2 linked regions of the Callithrix jacchus genome follow. The protein of the gene in region 1 purifies or fractionates together with the protein of each later gene. This does not show direct contact. Links are inferred from orthologs where the notes say so. Each region holds a gene or a part of one and is shown on either strand. Other genes may lie near its edges.

Region 1 (10,303 bases):
CTCAACACCATGGCCAGCCTGGCTTCAGATACTTTGCCAGGAGTTAATGCCACAGCCAGAGCGGCATTGGATATTGGAACTGTTCCCAGCTCCACCCAGGCCCTTTTCTCTTCCCTGCCCACAGTCCCCAGGCCACCAAGTCCGTGCCTGTCACTGAAATCGCCACTCAATGCTCAGGAGTCTTGCCTGCCTGACGCGTGAACCCCACGCACTGGGGCTTTGCCCTCGAGCACTCTCCTGGGTCCAGCTCCTCTTTCTCCCAGGGCACCTGAGGTTGCCTCCCCGGCCTGGCTCTTCCTAGGCCCTAGCCCTAACCCTTACCTGCAGAGCCTTTGGGGCCCAAACTGGTGCGTTGCTCCTGGCTGAACAGCCCCTGGAAGCTTCCCGTACTTCTAGACATCACCCACAAGTCCCTTAGCAGGCCCACAGAGCCCACACCAGCCCACAACCACCAGCCCCTTGCCCCGCGGAAGCCTCGGGAAGACTGCACCTCACCCAGAAATGCTCCCGCTCCTCCCGCGTGTCCCCAGCAGGCACTACATGGTGCCCTCTGCATGGGCACATCTGTGGCTGGCCAGCTTCCACGCTCCCCTGGGTAGCGGCTGGGACTGCCTGTCTCACGGCCACAGCCCAACTCCCAGGTGCAGCAGGGGCTCAGCAGACATCTGGTCATGGTTTGGGGTCAGAGGATTCGTGGGTTTACCAGGGCCCCCTCTGCAGCTCAAGGACACTCGTCAGTTCCTCCTGTAGCTCTGGAGACCTGCAGTCCCGGGTTGCTGTGATACTGACATCAGCCTTGAGCTTTCTGCTTTCCCTAGGGCTTTTACCACCTTGTATGTTAAGTACTTGGCTCCAGGATTCCAGAGAAATGTTCTCTGAGACCTGCTGTGTACCCAACATGCTTGAAGACTCTGGAGGTGAGGCGCATGACACTCCTGTAGTAACGAGGCTGCTGGCAGTGCTGCCGACGTGTCCCATGCCAGGGGGGAGGCCTGGTGTGGAGGGCATGCTTGCTATCCTGAGATCAGGTCCAAGAAGCCCTTGCAGGAGGCTGGGGACAGGGAAGGCTATCACCTTTTACAGGGGAGGAAGCAGAGGCTTGGAGAGGCCAGGTACCTTGCCCAAGGCTGTACACCTGGGGGTAGCCGAGGGTTCTGGCTTCTGAAAGCTTGCAGTACAGCTGGACACACAGCATTGGTTCCATTGCTGCAACCATCTTACCTGTGCTCCGCTAGCCAGGTGGACACCCAAAGGGAGATGCCTTTGCCTGTGCTGGGAGGAGGCACTGTGGGACCCATCCACCAGCAGCCCAGAGCAGGAGCACATCTGCCAGAGCAGGGATGCACCTTCAGCCCCATGTTAGCCCTGGGAAGGCCCAGATGGCGGACCCCGGGAAGGAAGGCCCGGATGGTGGGCCCGAGGGAAGGAGGGCCCAGATGGCGCACCCTGGGAAGGGAGGACCGGACGGTGGACCTGGGGAAGGGAGGATCTGGGGAAGGCCTGGACAGTGGACAGGGCTGTCTTGCTCCACACCCCCGGTGAGCAAACATGAGGGTCAGATGTGAGAACATGGGAAGGGGTGGCATCATGGTGGGCATGTTTGCAGATCCTATGCTGTGTGCTTGGCAGGCCTTGCCCATGGAAGCCAGTGGGCTTGAGGCTCCCTCCATGCTGCCCACCATGGCCCTGGGGTCTGGCCTTACCCTCACAGGGTCACTTCCTCTCCTCCATGAGGGTAAGGAGAGGAAGCCTGGCCCACCCTCTGGCCAACCTGGTGGTATGTTAACAGAGACCCCTTATTGTAGGAGCCTGATAAGCAAATGCCACAGAACGAACGCTGTGGACCCTGCCTCCAGATGACTCCGTCCTACCAGCCCTGCTTCCTCCTCCTCCAGGAAGCACTTGGTTAGTTCTTTCCACCTCAGAGGCCTTCACATGTTTTTTTCCCGGACCACTAGGCCAACCCTGCCTCACAGAGACTGCCCCTTCCTCTCCCCAGGCCAAGCCTCCAGCTTCAGTGTTCAGGACTAAGGGTCTGTGTCAGGGGCTGAGCAGTGTCCGGCGGGGGGACGCCTGCCCCTTATACTTCCACGAGACCCCAGACAATAGCCACTGCTATTGTATGCCAGGTAGGAAAGAGGGTCAGAGACTCACGGGGAGGGGCTGTCCTGCGTTCGCTGAGACCACTGCTCCCCCAGGGGCTCCCTGGAGGACTGCTGCTTGTCAGCAAAGCACCAGGTCCACTCGGCAGCCTCCAGCACCTCAGGGCCCTGTAGTAGGAGGCTCTACGCACAGGCTAGGGAGGCTGAGTGCCCGCCTGGAGACCAGCGTGGTCCAGCAGAAATACAACCGCCACCATATACCCAGCTTCACATTTCCTAGCAGCTATGTGGAAAACAAGAGACAGGTGAAATAGATTTTAACAGCATTTTATTTAATACATCCAAAATAGTCATTTCAATGTGCAATAAAAAATGATCCCTTAGATATTTGTACCCTTCACAAGCCAGCACGTAGTTTACACTTAGAGCGCAGCTCAGGCTCACAGCACGCAACAGCAGCCGCTGGACTGGACAGCATGGCTAACGGGAGGAGCTGACCGGACAGAGGCACCAAGGACACACTGTGAAGACACAGGGGTAGAGGATTTCCCGGCACAGCCTGGACACACACGAGCCTGTCCTGTGTGCTCTGTGTAATGCGGTACAGCAGTGGCCACAGAGTTTTGCACCAGAATCATCTGGCCCACCTAGGGGGGCTTCAGGGAGGTGGTGACTTTTGTGTCCAGCCTCCAAGTGTGAGCAGGGGCAGAGACTGGGAGAATGGAGAAACCAGTGGATGCTGCAGCCAAAGGCAATAAAGCTCCGCCAGGAATGGCGATGGCCACCGCGGACAGGACACCTCCCAGCACTGGCAGGAGGCCCCTGCAGCCCGCAGCCATTCACCTGATGTCGACATCCACCCCCACCAGGCCTGATGTCCTGGCACACCCATCAGCAGGACCCATCTCAGCCCTGAAGTGTTTAGGTGCTTATGTTGCTCTCTTTAAGCGGCCAGGACATGATGCTCAGAGACTAGGCACACAGTGTCTCAGGGGCAGGCCGGGCCTTCAGCGGAACAGTCTATAGCCCAGAGGTTGGATGGGCTCAGGTGTAGGGTGCAGGAGCCTATTCCAACACCAGGCCACAGACTGCTGAGAGCTGTGTCCATGCACTCCTAGTATTAGGGAGAGGAGGGGAAGAAAGACGGCCAACCCCTTGCAGGCGATATGGTGCTCCACACCCCTAGGAGCCACCATAAGCTGCTTTCTAACATCCCTGCCCTGGGGCTCCTGCCCTGGGGTCCAGAGACCTCCCATTTTATGCTTAGGGCAGCGTTGGCTTCTGCAGCTATGGCTTCTGCAGGTTAGAGCCCACCTGGGTGGGACCACAGGGTTCTGGAGGAACCTAGAGGGTAGAGTCCTGGGCTCCTGGCTCTTGGGTTCTTTGAACTCAACTTGCACCCACCTCTGCGTTCCCCTCTTTGGGAAGGGCTAATAATGACACCTCCCTAAGGGGAGGCTGCAGAGCGCCTGGACCACCGGAAAGATGGGGGCAGTGAGGCTGGTGTCACTGTCACCTCTCCCAGCAGGGCTGGGGCTGCGCCCTACCACGTGTTCCCTAACTCTGTGTTCAAACAGGTCAGGAATCTGACTCCTGAAAGGCAAATGTTAGCTGAGCAGAGTGGCCCTGGTGCCACGTCAGCTGGGGCGATCCTCTCCCGGCACCGCCTGGGGCTCTGCTAGCGTGGCACAGGTACCAGCCTCCCGCCCCGCTGGGGACCAGGGTGGCTCCCAAAGGGAGGACCTCAGCCGCTGCTGGGAGCTCAGCTTCGGCGATGCACTCGGGCGGGCACTCCCACCACCGACACCTGCCCTCTGGAAGGAGCTGCAGAGGAATGCCACGGCTCTTCCCTGTCCTTGCAAGGTACGGGTGCAGGTGAGTGGGCGGTACACGGATGGCCGCTTCCTCACCCGCCCGGCCTCCCTGGGTTCCTCCGGAAAATGAGGGCACAGATGACAGCGCCCACCAGTTCCCTGCGATCTTCCGCGGGGGGCGGGGGCACGGATGCTGCCTGGCCTGGCCGTCGCAGGGGCAGGAGCACCCATACGCCTCGCCCGCCGCTGGGTCGCTGTGGGCGCCCGAGCGCCCACTCACCACCAACGTGCACTAGGCCAGGGCTGGGACCCTAGGGCCCCGTGGGGCTGGAGGCCGAGGAGACGAAGCCAGAAAACCGCGCCTCCCCGGCAGGACTGCGGGGCCGGGGCCGGGGCCGGGGTGGGCGTGGGAGGACCCGGCGCGGCACAGGCTCGTGGCCGAGCTCGGGGACGTGGAGCCCGCGCGTCCTTCTGGGGGGTCGGCGAAGACCCGGCTCCGCGCGGTGGCCGGGCCGCCCTCCCCTGCTGGGGCCTCTGCGGAGCGAACGGCCTGCAGAGGATGCGTCGGGGAAACCCCAGGACCCTGGACTGGCACTGCCGGTCGCCGTCGACCAACTTCCGGCGCCGCTCAGGGCCCGCGATCGCGCCGTAGCCAGGCAACCAGCGCGCAGGCGCAGTAGGCCCTCGGCGGCCCGCAGCTCCTACCGCCCTCGGCGCATGCGCCGGCGCCGCCGCCGCCTCCTGCCCTCCAGCCTCCCGGCCCAACGGAAGAATGAGAGGAGCGCGCCCGCGTGAGGGCCCTGCGCTTCTCAGTGAGGCAGAGTAGCCGTTCTCGCTGCGTGAGCCTGCTAGCATCGGTCCTGCAGACTGATTTCCCCCTTGTGGCCTTGAGTGAAGAATCCCATCACTTCTCACATCTTAAAACGAAAAAAGACTGGGAGAAAGAGCCAGCGTAACCAAGGCGACGTCCCGGGGCGGCCCCGGCGCGTCCGGCTGGGCAGGTGGCGAGGGGCGGGGCCAAGCGGTGAGGCGGTGGATGGACGCCGGCGGGGGGCGGGGCCACGGGCCGGGAGGGACGGCCGAGGGGCGGGGCCAAAGGGGAGGGAACTACAGGAGACGGCGCGGAAAGACGGGCGGGGGACGGGACGAAAGAATGAGGCGGGGAAGAAGGGACGCCGGCGAGGGCGGGGATAAGGGCGGCGGGACAGAGATGAGGCTGAAGGGGACGGACGCCGGCGAGGGCCGGGGACGAGGCCTGGGCCGTAAAGGGATGAATGAGAATGCAACTGGGCCGCCGAGCCGAGGGGCGGGGACAGGGGCGGGGCGCGCGCTGATGTCGCAAGACGGACACGTCGGCGGCGCGGCGGCCGCGGAGACCGGAGCCGGATGTGCCAAGATGGCTGCGGCAGTTTCCGTGTCTGCGCTCGTCATCAGCGCCGGGTGGGCTTTCACGCGCGGCTCCTGAGCAGCCGATCTCTGCCGCGCGGGTGAGGGGGCGAGCGCGGGACGAGGAAGGCGGAGGCCGGCCAGAGGAGCCAGGCAGTGGAGGCCGGGGCGCGGCGGAGGGGAGGCGGCGAGGCCCAGCCCCTAGCGGGCGGCGCAGCTCGGGTCCCGTCGGAGCCGGGCGAGGAGACTGACGCCGGGGTCCGCAGGCTGGAGCGGGAGGCCGGGCGCGGCAAGGCGCGCCGTGGGACTGAAGGGACTCACGTGGACCCGGCTGGGCCGCGGTGACGCCTGTACCCCCGGCGGGAGGCTTACCCCAGGCACCCCTCGTAAAACCCCAGCTTTTCAAATGAACGTGTCTTGTCCTCACCGGCTGGAAGGTTTCCTTAGCGGTGCTGGTGAAGAGAGATTTACATTTGAACCAAGGAGCAGAGTTGTTTATTTGTAATTTCTTGATAGGGCGATCCGGGTGTTGCAACAGAGGCCGAGGGTTAGAGGAGTGTGTGTGATCCGTCTCGCCCCTTTGTCATGGAAGTGTTACAGTAGAGGCTTCAGAAACATCGGAGCGATTTAAAGTCAGTTTTTGCTGCTTCACTTAAGAACACTTTTAAGTGGCTTGTAGGTTGGGTGTGGATTGTATATTAAGATTGCGTTTTACGTGTATGATGCCGATGTTAACCAAAGAGGTATTTCCCATCCCCCATGTGGCAGTACGAAGCAAACAGAACCGCAGACAGTTCTTCCCGAGTGATACTTTTGCAAGTTTCAGCACAAGGCAGCCTCCCTGCATTTTTCCCCGTCTCCTTTCTTAGGGTTCCGGTGCTGGTATCTGGCAGAAAAGAGGCAAAGTAACGTTTCTTTCTTGTTCCCTGTTCCTCGTTTACTGTTAATAGTGGTTACTACAGTGAGTCTCAGAATTGTACTGAAAGTTTTCTTTGAGGCAGTGGGTACATTTTCTTTCTTTCTTTCTTTTTTCTGCCAAACCTGAGAGGCCATGGTAGTGGGTAAATGTCAATATGATTTCCTCTTCTGTAAATATCCTTGATGAATACCGGGGTGTCCTTTTGGGTCTTGGTCATTTTCAGCAGTACTAGGCTGCTGGCTGCCTCTGCCGCTGGCTTCGTCTTCAACACCCAACTTTATGTGGTTGCGATTCTAACTTAGAAGAGTTGGAGTTTATCATGTCTTTGTGTTAAGCATCCCATTGTCTGACAGGGAGTCACTAGCTGCCACCGTGAGGGAGACTGGGCAGCATGTAAGCTCAGAGGCTTCCTGGAACACCTTTGTTTTCTTTACCTAAAATGTGAGGCCAGTGACAGTGAAGAAGGGTGTGCGCGTGTTTACCTCAGTTCTGTAGCCAGAACTCTACTGAAAAGAGTTTTGCTTAGGTGTGCATATGGTTACAAGGCAATTTAACTGACTAGCTAGGTTTATGAATACTGCATCTTCAAGGTCAGGTGGCCTCTTTGAAACAGTGAAAGACTTAGATGACTTAAATAAGCTAGCTCCCTTGTAGTGGTGACATAGGTGATAGGCAGTGGCATTGCTTTCTCCTGGTGAGTAGAGAAAAAGATAAAAATCAGTTCAGGTCACAAGACTGTTCCAAATGAAATTGGCGAGTTGCTAAAAAGCTCTCATTTAGGGAGCATGAGGGTTAGAATGCTCCTTTGTAGGTAAGTGATAGTGTTTGCTATTTAAAAGGTTCTTAGTTGGGCTGGGCGCACTGTCTCACACCTGTAATCCCAGCATGTCGGGAGGGTGAGGCAAGTGGATCACAAGGTCAGGAGATGGAGACCATTCTGGGTGAAACCCTGTCTCTACTACTATTCAAAAAACTAGCCGAGCATGGTGGCACACGCCTGTAGCCCCAGCTACCCAGGAGGCTGAGGCAGGAGAATCGCTTGAACCCAGGAGGCAGAGGTTGCAGTGAGCCGAGATCATGCCACTGCACTCCAGCCTGGCAACAGAGCAAGACTCCATCTCAGAAAAAAAGAAAGTTCTTAGTCTAGGAGGAGAGCTGCAGAATAATTTTAAGAAAATGTCTACAAGGAAAACATTTAAGTATAAACCAGTGAAATTTAGATTCTGATAAGATTCCCCTGTTAAACAGCAGGTGGGATTAGGACATCCCGAATCTACCATGAGTAGAATCTCATAAGGTTAAACCCATGGTTTTAGGAAAAAAATAATCACATTGATTCTCTCATTTGGTAATAAAAACACATTGCCGAAAGAGTCATGGCTGCTTCGAGCCACTCACTCGAATGCCCAGTTCTGCTGTCATAGCAGCAGCCGAGGAATAAAGCTTGAGGTCCGAGGATCGATCCAAGATGGCCGACCACTAACAGCTCAGGATTGTAGCTCCCAGTGAAAGCCCAGAGAATGAGACGACGCCACACTTTTAGACAAATTTTCGTCACTCACTGATCAGCTGATTCCCAGTGGAGGAGCCCCACGGGTCGCCAGCGCGACTCTTGTGGCCGCCGCAGCGGTTTTGCCGGCGTCTCGGTGCCGCAGCTCTTCATGCAGAGCCAACGGGACTGCTTCCCCTACTGACTGGAGTTTGGAGCTCCGGGAAGTCAGAGCCGCTTGTTGCGGACTCAAGAGGGAAGCCAGACCAGAGATTCCCGGGCAGAAGAGCACCATCAGTCTTACCGCTGCTATTTAGGCTGCCACAGTGGGTTGCTCGGATCCCAACACTGGGAATCAATAAGTCAGACGTCGACTCAGAAAACTAATTAGAAAGGCGGTTCATCTACAATGAAGGGAAAAAAACAGCCTAAGAAGGCCGAGTATACTCAAGGTCAGAACCCATCAGCAACGGAACAAGCCCTGATGGAAAAGGACTCATCAGCAACCGAACAAGCCCTGATGGAGAAGGACTCATCAGTAACGGAACAAGCCCTGATGGAAAAGGACTGTGTTCCATTATCTGAAGTAGGCTTTAAAAGGTGGATGATAAGAAACTTCTGGGAGTTAAAGGAACTCGTTCTAACCCAATGTAAAGAAACTAAGAACTTGGAAAAAAGGTTCGATGAAATGTTGAAAAGAATAGACAATATAGAGAGGAATACAAATGAACTTATGGAGTTGAAAAATACAACACGAGAACTTAGTGAAAAATGTACAAGCTTAAACAGCCGAATGGATCAAGCAGAAGAAAGGGTATCAGAGGTCGAAGATCAACTTAATGAAACAAAACAACAAGACAAGAATAGAGAAAAAAGGATAAAAAGGAATGAGCAAAGTCTCCAAGCAATATGGGACTATGTGAAAAGACCTAATATACGCTTGATTGGTGTACCTGAATGTGACGGAGAGAATGAAGTCAAGCTGGAAAATACTCTCCAGGACATTATCCAGGAAAATTTTCCTAATTTAGCAAAGCAGGACACTATTCAACCCCAGGCAATACAGAGAACACCACAAAGATATTCCTCAAGAAGACCAACCCCAAGGCACATAATCGTTAGATTCACCAAGATCGAAACGAAGGAGAAAATATTAAGGGCAGCCAGAGAGAAAGATCAAGTTACCCATAAAGGTAAGCCTATTAGGCTTACAGCAGATCTCTCAATGGAAACCCTACAAGCTAGAAGAGAGTGGGGGCCAATATTCAATATACTTAATCAACAGAACTTTCAGCCCAGAATTTCATATCCTGCCAATTTAAGCTTTACATTTGAAGGAAAAATAAAATTTTTTAGGAACAAGCAAGTACTCAGAGATTTTATTACCACCAGGCCTGCTTTACAAGAACTTCTAAAAGAAGCACTATACACAGAAAGGAACAACCAGTATGACCCTTTCTAAAAATACACCAAAAAGTAAAGAGTATTAACATAAAGAAGAATTTTTATCGACGAAAGGACAAAATAGCCAGTTAATATCAAACGGCAGCAACCCTAAATTTAAATCGACCAAATCTCCCAATCAAAAGATACAGACAAAATCTAACGGTATATCCAAAGATATACATAGACTCAAAATAAAGGGTTGGAAAAAAAAAAAAACGTACCAACCAAATGGAGAGCAAAAATAAATAAATAAAAAGCAGGAGTTGCAATTTTCACATTTGACAAAATAGATTTCAAAGCTACAAGGATAAAAGGATTAATGTAATAATAAGAGATCTTAACACCCAGATACATAAGACCCATAATGAGATTCAGATTCAACGAGACAGAAAATTGATAACGATATCCAGGACTGGAACTAAGATCCAGAACAAATAAACTCAATAGAGCTCTCCATTTTAAACACACAAAATATACATTATCCACAAAATCTGACGATATATCTAAAGATATACAAAGACTCAAAACAAGGGGATGGAAAAAAACCAACCAAATGGAGAGCAAAAATAAATAAATAAAAAACAGGAGTTGCAATTCTCACACTTAATAAAATAGATTTCAAAGCTACAAGGATGCAAGGGTAAAAGGATTAATGCAACAATAAGAGATCTTAACACCCAGATACATAAGACACATAATGAGATTTAGATTCAACGAGACAACAAATTGATAACGATATCCAGGACTTGAACTCAGAGCCAGAACAAATAAACACAATAGAGGTCTCCATTTTAAACACATAAAATATGCATTAACCACTTTAAACACTCAAAATATTGATCGGCCATTATTGAAACTCATTTTAGGAATGAAGTAATATTCCTTTTTCCCTCTTTTTCTTTTTTTCCCCTTCTTAAAAAAAAAAAAAAAAAAAAAGCTTGAGGTCCGTGCTCTGTGTTTAGAGCAAACAAACGAAAGCTGTTGAGGACGGAGCTGATCTTCCTGGGGTAGGGCCATGTCTGGAGAGATGACGTAGGACCCCCGTTCTGGCGGCGGAGCTTCGAGAGGGCTTGGAAGTTCGGATTCTGGCTGTGGTTGCAGGTTGCTCTGTCTGCTGTGGCTCTGCAGCTGGTTGGACCAAGTGGAA
Region 2 (10,203 bases), on another chromosome or scaffold:
AGTGCCCTAAACAGCAAATGGCAGCATTTTAGAAGTATACAGCCCCACCTCCAAGTATAGTTCAATTTCCAACAGAAATACTCCAAAGATGCATTCTCTCCAGCTGTTCTGAAAAGTGGTGATACTGCAAGAATAATACAGATGATAAAGCAGAAAAGCAACACTTATCTTCTTGAAGCCTGATGGTTTTGCATGCTTTTATTAATTCACTCTGAGTACTCCCCATTGCTCTAGTTGTCTTGGGTTTTCACAAAAACTTTTAGCATTTTCAAAATTTTGAGGGGCTCCCTCAAAGTGAATAACAATGATGCCAGAAATGCTTTCTGATAGGTTAACACAGACGGTTGCCTTAGATCACAAGTGATTTTCAAACAAAGCCAACAAATATATTTTCTGAGAGCAAGTCTGTATGATTTGAGAGGTCCTGGTAAATTACAAATTACCTCCAGCAAGCCAACAGCAATGGACAAAGCAACACCAGTGGATCGCAAAGGTCTCTTCCCCTGAGTTACTGGCCATGGGTCCCTCTGTAGTTCCCCAAGAAGATCAGTGAGGTTCATGTCAATCTTGTGAACAGGCTGCAGAAATCTACACGATTTTGAAGAGACACATCAACCCACATTGAATAAAGTACTCTGGTTCTGAACACTAGGTGCCACACAGTCACTGCTCTTCAAGATAATTACTCATAGTAGAAAATGACTGGTAATTTTTTTCTTCAAAGCTATCTCTCTACTAACACAAAACAATTTAAAGCAGTTTTATTGAGGAATATAAAGCCCAGTACTTAGAAACTGATACATGTTACATGGAGAAAGATTATCTTGAAAAAAAGCAATTCAGTCTAATTAAATTATAGGCAGCAAAGAAATCCTAAGAATGTGCCTAACACGAGCTCAGTCGACGTGAGGTCCATTTATGTGGACAGTCTTCATCACTCCTCACCATTCTAATCTGTGCTTCTCTTGAGCCCTGAGAGTTCAGAGGCTGTCTTCAGCTCATCAGGCAATGCATTTTATCAAGCTTTTAGCCCAGTCTAGGGCAGCCCCAGGCACTCAACGGGCCAAATGAAGTGAATACCTGGTCATAAGTATGTTTGAAACACATGAAAGAAGTCTTTTCAGGTTTTCCAGTTTTCCTTAAGCATCAAAAAGGACATCAGATGTGGAATGTCTAAGCACAGCAATTGAGCACAGTGGTCTCAAAACCTTTTTGATAAAACTCTGACTACTGATTAGGCTTAATCATTTATCTTTTCTCCTAAGAAGAAGAAAATAAAAGTTCTAATATTTTTCTTCCCTTAGTCCCATGGATGATCTGCATGTCCACCACAGTATGTGGAATACTCCATGTTGGGATCTCACCTGCTTGAAACAGAAGGGTGCTCCTGTGGTTGCGCAGGTCGTGCTTGCTGCATGGGCGTGGCTGGCTTTGTCAGGCCCAACATATCCTTTAAAAAAAGCCAAAAAGATTCACTGACAATGACACTAAAAGTGAATGACTAATTCTTAAGAAATGTCCTCAGCTGGGTGTGGTGGTACATGCCTATAGTCCCACCTGCTCAGGAGGCTGAGGTGGGCCAATGGCTTGAGCCTAGGAATTCAAGACTACAGTGAGCCACCATCGCACCACTGAACTCCAGCCTGGGCTACAAAGCGAGAGCCCAGTCTCTTTAAAAGAAAAAAGAGGAAAGAAAAAGGTCCTTGCTCCTGCTCCTGTACAAGTAAGGTAAGGTTCAAACCTGTATCTGCTTTGCAGTTAAATCCTTGGTCCCTCGGAAGACGTAACTTTTGGAGATTCCTTCACAGCTTAGTTCATGAACCTGCACCATCCTTCCAAATGTGATCAGACCCACCAGAGCATCTGGAGGAAGAAGACTCAATGACATCTGCAGGGACTCTTTGAGGGCTTGAAGGTCATCTTCTTCCAGGCATGTGTCAACCACATAGAGAAAGATCAGAGGGGACTGAGCACCTCGCTTTGGGCAAAGAAAAACAGCATAATGATCAATATGCAAATAGACTTAACGAGCACTTTTTAAAGCAAATTAGGTATGAAAATCATAAGTCTTTATCTAGTTTTAGGAAATAAGGACATCTACACAAAGCTCGAACTCATTAAATGACTCAGATGCTATTAAATCAAACTAAACACAGAAACTATCTGCATCCAACAATGTATTCAACTATTTTTTTAATACTTCCTACATGCCAGACATTGTTCCAGGTCCTGGGACACACAGTGAACAGAAAGAACAAAGACTTCTTGCTGCCTCGAGGAGCAAACTTTCTGTAATGGAGAGGTTAAGGGGGAATGCAAATGCCAGGAGGAGAGGAAGAGGGCAGAGTCAACTGTTAAACGGAGAGGTTAGGCAGCCTCATTTAGAGAGCAGCATATGAGCCGGGCTCATGCCTGTAATCCCAGCACTTTGGGAGGCTAAGGTGGGAGGACTGCTTATGCCCAGGAGTTCAAGACAAGCCTGGCAACATGGCGAGACCCCATCTCTAACAAAAGAAAAAAAGTAAAAAAAATTAAAAATTAGTTGGGCATGACGGCACATGGCTGTGTTCCCAGCTCTCAGGAGGAGGAGGCAGGAAGACCTCTTGAGCTCAGGAATTTGAGGCTGCAGTAAGCTATAGTTGTGCCACTGCATACCAGCCTGGACGACAGAGTAAGACCCCATCTTAAAAAAAAGGAAAAGAGGGCCGGGTGTGGTGGCTCACGCCTATAATCCCAGCACTTTGGGAGACCGAGGAGGGCAGATCACCAAGTCAGGAGTTCAACGCCAGCCTGGCCAACATGGTGAATCCCTGTTTCTACTAAAAATACAGAAATTAGCCAGGCATGTTGAGGTACACCTGTAATCCCAGCTACTCGGGAGGCTGAGGCAAGAGAATTGCTTGACCATAGGAAGCAGAGGTTTCAGTAAGCTGAGATCATGACACTGTCCTCCAGCCTGGGTGACAGAGCAAGACTGTCTCAAAAAAAGAAAGAAAAAGAAAGTAATGTTGAGCAAAGCCTGAGGGAGGAGAGGGAAGAAACATAACAGATACAGGGGAGAGCTCCAGCCTCAGCGAAAAGCTACAGCAGAGGTCCTCAGGCAGGAGTGTTCACATATTTGAGGAGAGTCAAGGGGGCCCACTGGGTTGATCAAGGACACTAGCAAACACTGAGGATGGAGTGGTAACATGCAAGGCTTTTTGAAAACTGTCTTTTACCCTGGGTAAAGGAAAGCCATTTTCACCACTGAGGTTTTCTTTACAGAGAAGTATATGATTTATGTTTTTAAAGAGTTACTCCGGCTGCTGGGTGAAGAATAATATACAAATAGGCAATGGTACAACATCAGGGAGAACAATTAGAAGCAGTTAGTACTAGAGAGAGGGAAGCGGATGGATTCTGGTTTCCGGTGGATTAGATATAGAATGGGAAAGAGAGAAGTGAAGGATGAGTCTAAGGTTTTGAAGCTAAAATACTAGATGATAGAGTACCATCTACCAAGATTGAGAAGACTACAGTGGACAGGTTTGGAATTTAATCAGTTCTACCTTTTTAGTAGCCTTCTATAATATCAAGACTTGAGAGCAATGCCAGCAGATGCATACACATCAAACCTAACAGTGAGGATTGTGCTGCCCTCACAGCTTTAAGTCCCCTACCCAGGTAAGAGACATGGAAGACAAAAGATTTCAAGAGAAACCAATATTTAATATTGCTCATTAAATGCACAGCAAAGAAATTACCTGTATCATGTACTCAATTGTAGAAAATTGGGGCATCAATTCAGCAGGCTGGTTCACCTCAGATATGCCTCCATAAGCTGGAGGAAACTGAAAAGAAGGAAACAGTTCTATTAGGGCCGGCACATCTACATTACACTTTTTATTTCCCACATATAAAAATGATAATGATGCTGAGATGAGAGGATCACTTGAGCCCAGGAGCTCAAAACCAGCTTGGGCAACACTATGAGACCTTCTCTCCACAAGAAGTAAAAAAATTAGTTGGGTGTGGTGGCTCACACCTGTAGTCCCAGCTACTCAAAAGCTGAGGTGGGAGGATCATTTGAGCCCAGGAGGCTGAGGCTGCAATGAGCCATGATTGCACCACTGCACTCCAGCCTGGCTCTTTAGCCACAATGCTACCCTGCCTTAGAATGTTTATAATAAGTTATATTAAACAGAGACATTAATCCCGAAGGTAAAAGGGAGCAGAAATGCTTTTAAGATTTGCATACACTTCTGAATCTCTTATGAAGATACATTTTGGTGACATCTGCTTACACTTTCTGAACCTATAGTCAGTCATCAATTATACACTGTTCTCCTCATCACTAGACTTATGTGTTGTATCTGAGAATGAGAGTAATTTTAATTATGATCAAATATATAAACAAATGCATGTGAAGAGCTTAAGATCTGTTAGAACAATATACACTATGCTGGACACAATTAACTTTTTTCTAACAACTTTATTGAGGTATAGTTTACATAACACAAAATTCACTCATTTTAAGTGCACAAGTCAATGGTTTTTAGTCAATGTACAGTTGTGCAACAATCATCACAATCCATTTTAGAACATTTTCAATATAGGAACAGTTACTTTTTTTTTTTTTTAAACAGAGTTTTGCTCGTCGCCCAGGCTCCAGTGCAATGGTGTGATCTCAGCTCACTGCAACTTCCACTTCCCGGATTCAAGCGATTTTCCTACCTCAGCCTTCTGAAGTAGCTGATGCCCGCCACCACGCCCAGCTAATTTTTTTTACAAAATTTTTAGTTGAGACGGGGTTTCACCATGTTGACCAGGCTGGTCTTGAACTCCTGACATTATGTGATCCACCCGCCTCAGCCTCCCAAAGTGATGGGATTACAGGCGTGAGCCACTGCTCTTGGCCAAGCACAGTTACTTTCAGAGAGAAGTCTCTCTTGTGATTTGTTAGCGCTTTCTAGTTTGGCAGTTTTTAAAGTTTCAAATCAAAAGAAGCTAACACTGATACTTGGATCCTAAAAGTTAGAAAGATCAGAAAACGGAAATTCAGTAATATACACTATCCAGTTAGAATATACTGAAGTCAAAAGAATTATGAACAGGTGCTTTCTAAGGGCAACAGATTCACTGACTGCAGAAAACGTGTAAGAAAAGAAATTCAACACATGTCCCCAACCCCCAAGCAAATTACAAGGACTCAAAGAAGAAAACCATTCAACACAATAAGCCACAAATGTTCAAATCCAATGTCGTGCTTAATAAAAGCTATCACCTTGAGTTCAGCAGAAACTGCTGACTGCCAATGTAAAGACAAATTCAACCTCACTTAATTTTTTTCATACAACTAAAATAAAACATATAACATATTTTAAAAAATAATTCACATACCTGATTTCTTTGAAAACAGAAATTACAGGCCCAAAGTTTTGCTCGATAATCAACCTGACTGTGAGAAAGATACATATTATAAGTAGGTACCACTTTTATTTTTAAGGTAGAAAGCATTTATTTATAAATTTCAAGTTCAGTACACCACACAAATAAGTGTTTCTATGTGTGCTGAAGAGCAACGGCGCGATCTAGGCTCACTGCAACCTCCACCTCCCAGGTTCAAGTGATTTTCCTACCTTAGCCTCCCAAAGTACCTGAGATTACAGGTGTCCACCACCATACCCAGCTAATTTGAGAATTGTGGCTAAGTACACCAAAATTTTCATCAAACAGCCACAGTGAAGAACTATCTATTTTTCTCTTTTCTAATTTCCTGATTTTTTAATTTATGTAAATTATAGGTTATTTTATTTACCTTTTACCTTTCATCTTAATGCATTCTGCATGGTTTTTTTCTAACATCTTTATAGTCTAGCTATGTGAAACTACTAAATTCCAACACTAAAAGCATGTTTCACACACAGGAAAATGTTTCTAGATTTTAACCTAACTTAGCCCACTTGAAGAAAAGTTGGAGCCGAGCATGGTGGCTCACACCTCTATTTCCAACACTTTGGGAGGCCAAGGCAGGCAGATCACAAGGTCAGTAGTTCAAGACCAGCCTGATCAACATGGTGAAATCCCGTCTCTACTAAAAATACAAAAATTAGCCGGGTGTGGCGGCATGTACCTGTAATCCCAGCTACTTAGGAGGCTGAGGCAAGAATCGCTTGAACCCGGGAGACAGAGGTTGCAGTGAGCTGAGACTGCAGCACTGCACTCAAGCCTGAGCAACAGAGCGAGACTCCATCTCAAAAAAAAGAAAAGTTGGGCAAGCACATTTCACTTCCTCAAATTGGTTCAGGATAATGCTTCAGTTACTTTCCCCACACTTTCTACATTTAGAAAATGAATAACCAGTGGCTATGATTTTAAAATCAGAGCAGCAGCACTCATAGATGGGCATATTACATAAAAGCAATGGGGATGAAGTAAAAAATGTTCCTTCATATAAAAATTTTATGACACTCTCTACCTGTTTAAAAATTATTTCAAATAATGCCTACATTTAAAAGAAGTTCTTTAGGTCACTACCTCAAGCACACACAAAAAATTACACTTAACAAACTGTTGAGTTAAAATTTCTTCTGCCTATTATGTCTCCCTGCCATACAGCATCAATGATTAAGGGAAGCATGAGAAGCCAGTCTAAAGCTTTTGAATTCTTTCAGGAAATTACTTTAAGAGGTATCAATAAAGTCTATAGTTAAGTCAAAAGCAAACTGATTATCAGCAAAAAAAAGTGAATTACAAATCCCCTCCCTCTACCTCATTCCTCTAAGATTCCAATTTTATCTGGAATTACCAGGCCAGGGAAATTTCTACAAATATTCACCACCTAATACTCACCTTAAGAATCTTACCATCTACTACTCATCAGAAATCGATGACTTTCATGAGCATCACATACAAGTCATTATATATTATATTTATCAGTTTTACCAGTTTCAAAAGAATCCATACCAAAGTGGGTTGAGAACAGCTTTACAAGTTGGCCTGCTGCAAAGCACAGGTTCATATTGTACAGGAGGTAGGTCTGGACGTTCTTTCAATGGAGTAAGGAGACAAGCCAGGGGTACAACCATTCTTGTGGCCTCTAGCCGGCTGGAAGGCCACACATTCCAACTAAAGCGCACACCATCTCGTTCTTCATTCTGCTGGATGAACTCCAGGTAAGTCGCCATAGTCTAGAAGGGAACTGAAGATACAACTTTAATGACCTTAATGGTACGTGAAATTCTGAACTAAATGTCAAAAAAAAAAAGATGGGTCATGTATCACAGTTCTTCTTTCTTTTTTTTTTCCTTCAATCTCAGCTTGCTGCAGCCTCCATCTCTTGGGTTCAAGCGATTCTCCTGCCTCAGCCTTTCAAGTAAGTGGGATTTTGAGTACCCACCACCACACCCAGCTAATTTTTTGTATTTTTAGTAGAGATGGGGTTTTACCATGTTAGCCAGGCTGGTCTCAAACTCCTGACCTCAGGTGATCTACCGGCCTTGGCCTCCCAAAGTGCTGGGATTACAGGTGTGAGCCACTGCACCTGGACCATCTAACAGTGTTTCTTAAATATTCTGAAAGAACTTGTTGCTGTAGAATGACAGTATTTCCCTTCCCTCTGATACCCAAAAGTCAGTTAACTGTACAGTTATCATTGAACACTGCTCCTTTCTCAACTCTCCTCTCAAGCACTTAAAAATAAATCGAAGGATTAAGAGGTTTATAATCACCTAATCATCTCCAAACTATATGTAGTTAAATACTACTACTTCAAACCTCCTCACAGATCTCACAGTCTATCAGTCAAGCCAATTTTAACCCCGTGCCCAAGGGTAACTCTTGAACCCTGTTTCAGCATCCAACTATCTTCCTCTCTAATCTCCTTTTCTTGCTGTTAAATTTTATATTCCAAGTGATTTTTTTTCCAGTGGTGGGGGTGTGCTCATTCCCTTCTGCACTTTGTTAACTTTGGAGAAAAGAGCTGGATCCTGATCTTCCAAGTTTGGTTCACAATGGGAACCAGTTCTGAGCTAAAATATTTCTACTTAGTATTACCAAAATTACTATTACACTGAGTCTCACCAGAACCTCTTTCCTCGCCACGGTTGCTTATGTTCATGCCTTGAAAAACTGTGGTCAAGGCCAGGCGTGGTGGCTCAAATCTGTAATCCTAGCACTTTGGAAGGCCGAGGCAGGCGGATCACAAGGTCAGAAGTTCCGGACCAGCCTGGCCAACACGGCAAAACGCCGTCTCTACTAAAAATACAAAAATTAGCTGGGCGTGGTGGCGGACGCCTGCAATCCCGGCCACTTGGGAGGCTGAGGCAGGGAGAACTGATTGAACCGGGAGGCGGAGGTTGCAACTCAACTGCACTCCAGCCTGGGCGACAGACCGAGACTCCATCTCAAAAAAAAAGGTACTGGCTCAATCTAATGGTCTTCAGGTATGTACAGCCTAAGACCTGCTCCCTCCTTTTCCCACTGCCGGTTTCTCTCATCCTTCTAGGTCACGGATTCTTAGCCATGGGCACATAATCCAAAGGGGACTACAGAAGGTGCACGAATCCTCTGAAGTTGTGGGCATGAGGGAATGTGCGCCTTTTTCTAGGGAGTTGGGTCCATGGCTTGTACCAAATTATCAAAGTGGAGGGCATCTGAAGAGGTAAATAACTGAAAATATGAATTAGTGAATGAATGAAAGTCCTGGAAAAATAACAGTAGGAGAATCCACCAAAAATTCTGAACCACTCTCATCTCGCCAACTCAAAACTTCTCAGGACGCAGTGACCATCTGTATACAAAAATTAGGTTTAATCCTTGAAGGGAGTCCAAGGAACTGGGTTCTAGTTCCAGCTGTCATGAAGCAAAAGTCGTTTCATTTGTCTGAGTCTTGAGTTTCACAACTATAAAACCCAGAATTGGTCCTTTCAGCTGTGCGGACCCCGCAATTCTGGGGAACCTGGAGCCAGAAATTAATCCAGGCCTGGCGCGAGACCCTCAGCGGATTATTGGACCATCGATTATCCCCGCTACCCCAAGCTGCGGAGAAGAATCCTCATTCCAGAAGCCGCCCACCTCACCTCTGGCAGAGACTCATACCCGTGCCCTCGCCCTCCGTCCCCTATGCGCCCCACTCACCCGGCCGGAGCCGCTCACTTGGCTAGATTCGTCCTCACTCACAGCTGCAACAGCACGGTGCCGACTCCCACCGCCAAGTCCAGCTCAGCTCTCAACCGATTGGCCAGCCCCAGCGCGTCACGCCATGGCGCTGTCCACTGGCCAATCAAAGAGCGCTTCTCCGACGGACGGGCGGAAGCGAGCGATTCGGAAACGCCCAGCCACCATCTTGGAACAGGGCAAAACAACTGTGTCTCGCACTTCAAAACCACAGTTCCTCGGAACACGTTTCACCAGGCCTAAACGTTTCTGCTTCAGAAAACTCCAGCGACTGCCGCCCCGTTGCCTAACCTCAGCCAGCGATCATCAGAGGTTCGCCCTGATACAATATGACATCCGCTCCTCTCAGCGGGAAGTCCGGCTGATCGCCTTAGCTACCGGAATGTGAGAATGATGACGTATCCTCCCGGAAAAGGGAGGGGCACCAGCCGGAGGAAACTAAGGCTGCCGGAAGAAGGCGCCAGCGTGTGGAAGGGGCTGGGCGGAGGGGTGTGGCGGGTGGTGAGCGTGGAGGCGCGTAGGCGCTTGCTGGGCTGTGTGTCCGGTCGCTGTGGCCAGTCCCACGTAGATCTTGGTCCTGGAGCCATCAGGTACTGGGTTGTGGAAGCAGCTCGTGTGTAGAACCAGTTCTCATCGTAGGGAGCAAGCTCTTTGTGCTTGGCCAGCTTGACGGTGGCCACCCATTCCCGGACTTTCAGCTTCCCGGACTTTTTGAGAAAGGCTGCCAGAGCTCGCTCCGACGAAGTCCTGCTGGTTCACGTCTTTTGCAGTAACTCCAAGCACTGTGTGGCCTCCGCGCTGCCAGCCAGGGAAAAGGGAGCAACGGGGTTTCCCGCAAGTTCCTAATTGTTGTTGCCATGAATGGGGAAAAATCCACCAACTGTGGGCAAATCAGAAATAAAACCCAAATGAATAGGAAGGAGGAAGAAACCTAGAGAGAAAGTCAGCAACGCTGTGGTACTATTCCTACTTGGTGTTCACTCTGGGAGCCAGGTAAAAATGTGCTTGGGCTTATCAGCCCCGTGGAGTGTTCCTTCAGTAATGTGG

The links.
Region 2: the proteins of SEC16A (region 1) and SEC23B purify together in Homo sapiens (affinity purification with mass spectrometry; 3 studies listed by BioGRID and IntAct, with this or other methods). This does not show direct contact. The link is inferred for Callithrix jacchus from reciprocal best matches to the Homo sapiens genes SEC16A and SEC23B.

Annotation. Positions count from the first base shown.
Region 1 is NC_133502.1:184,949,469-184,959,771, reverse strand, and holds the start of SEC16A (protein transport protein Sec16A), read left to right. Parts: upstream 1-5,287; 5' UTR 5,288-5,302; coding exon 5,303-5,356; exon of another isoform or gene 5,357-5,403; intron 5,404-10,303. UniProt on the Homo sapiens protein: Acts as a molecular scaffold that plays a key role in the organization of the endoplasmic reticulum exit sites (ERES), also known as transitional endoplasmic reticulum (tER).
Region 2 is NC_133506.1:25,509,796-25,519,998, reverse strand, and holds the start of SEC23B (protein transport protein Sec23B), read right to left. Parts: upstream 9,211-10,203; 5' UTR 9,118-9,210; intron 7,181-9,117; 5' UTR 7,167-7,180; coding exon 6,946-7,166; intron 5,438-6,945; coding exon 5,380-5,437; intron 3,831-5,379; coding exon 3,744-3,830; intron 1,979-3,743; coding exon 1,742-1,978; intron 1,451-1,741; coding exon 1,365-1,450; intron 589-1,364; coding exon 444-588; intron 7-443; coding exon 1-6. UniProt on the Homo sapiens protein: Component of the coat protein complex II (COPII) which promotes the formation of transport vesicles from the endoplasmic reticulum (ER).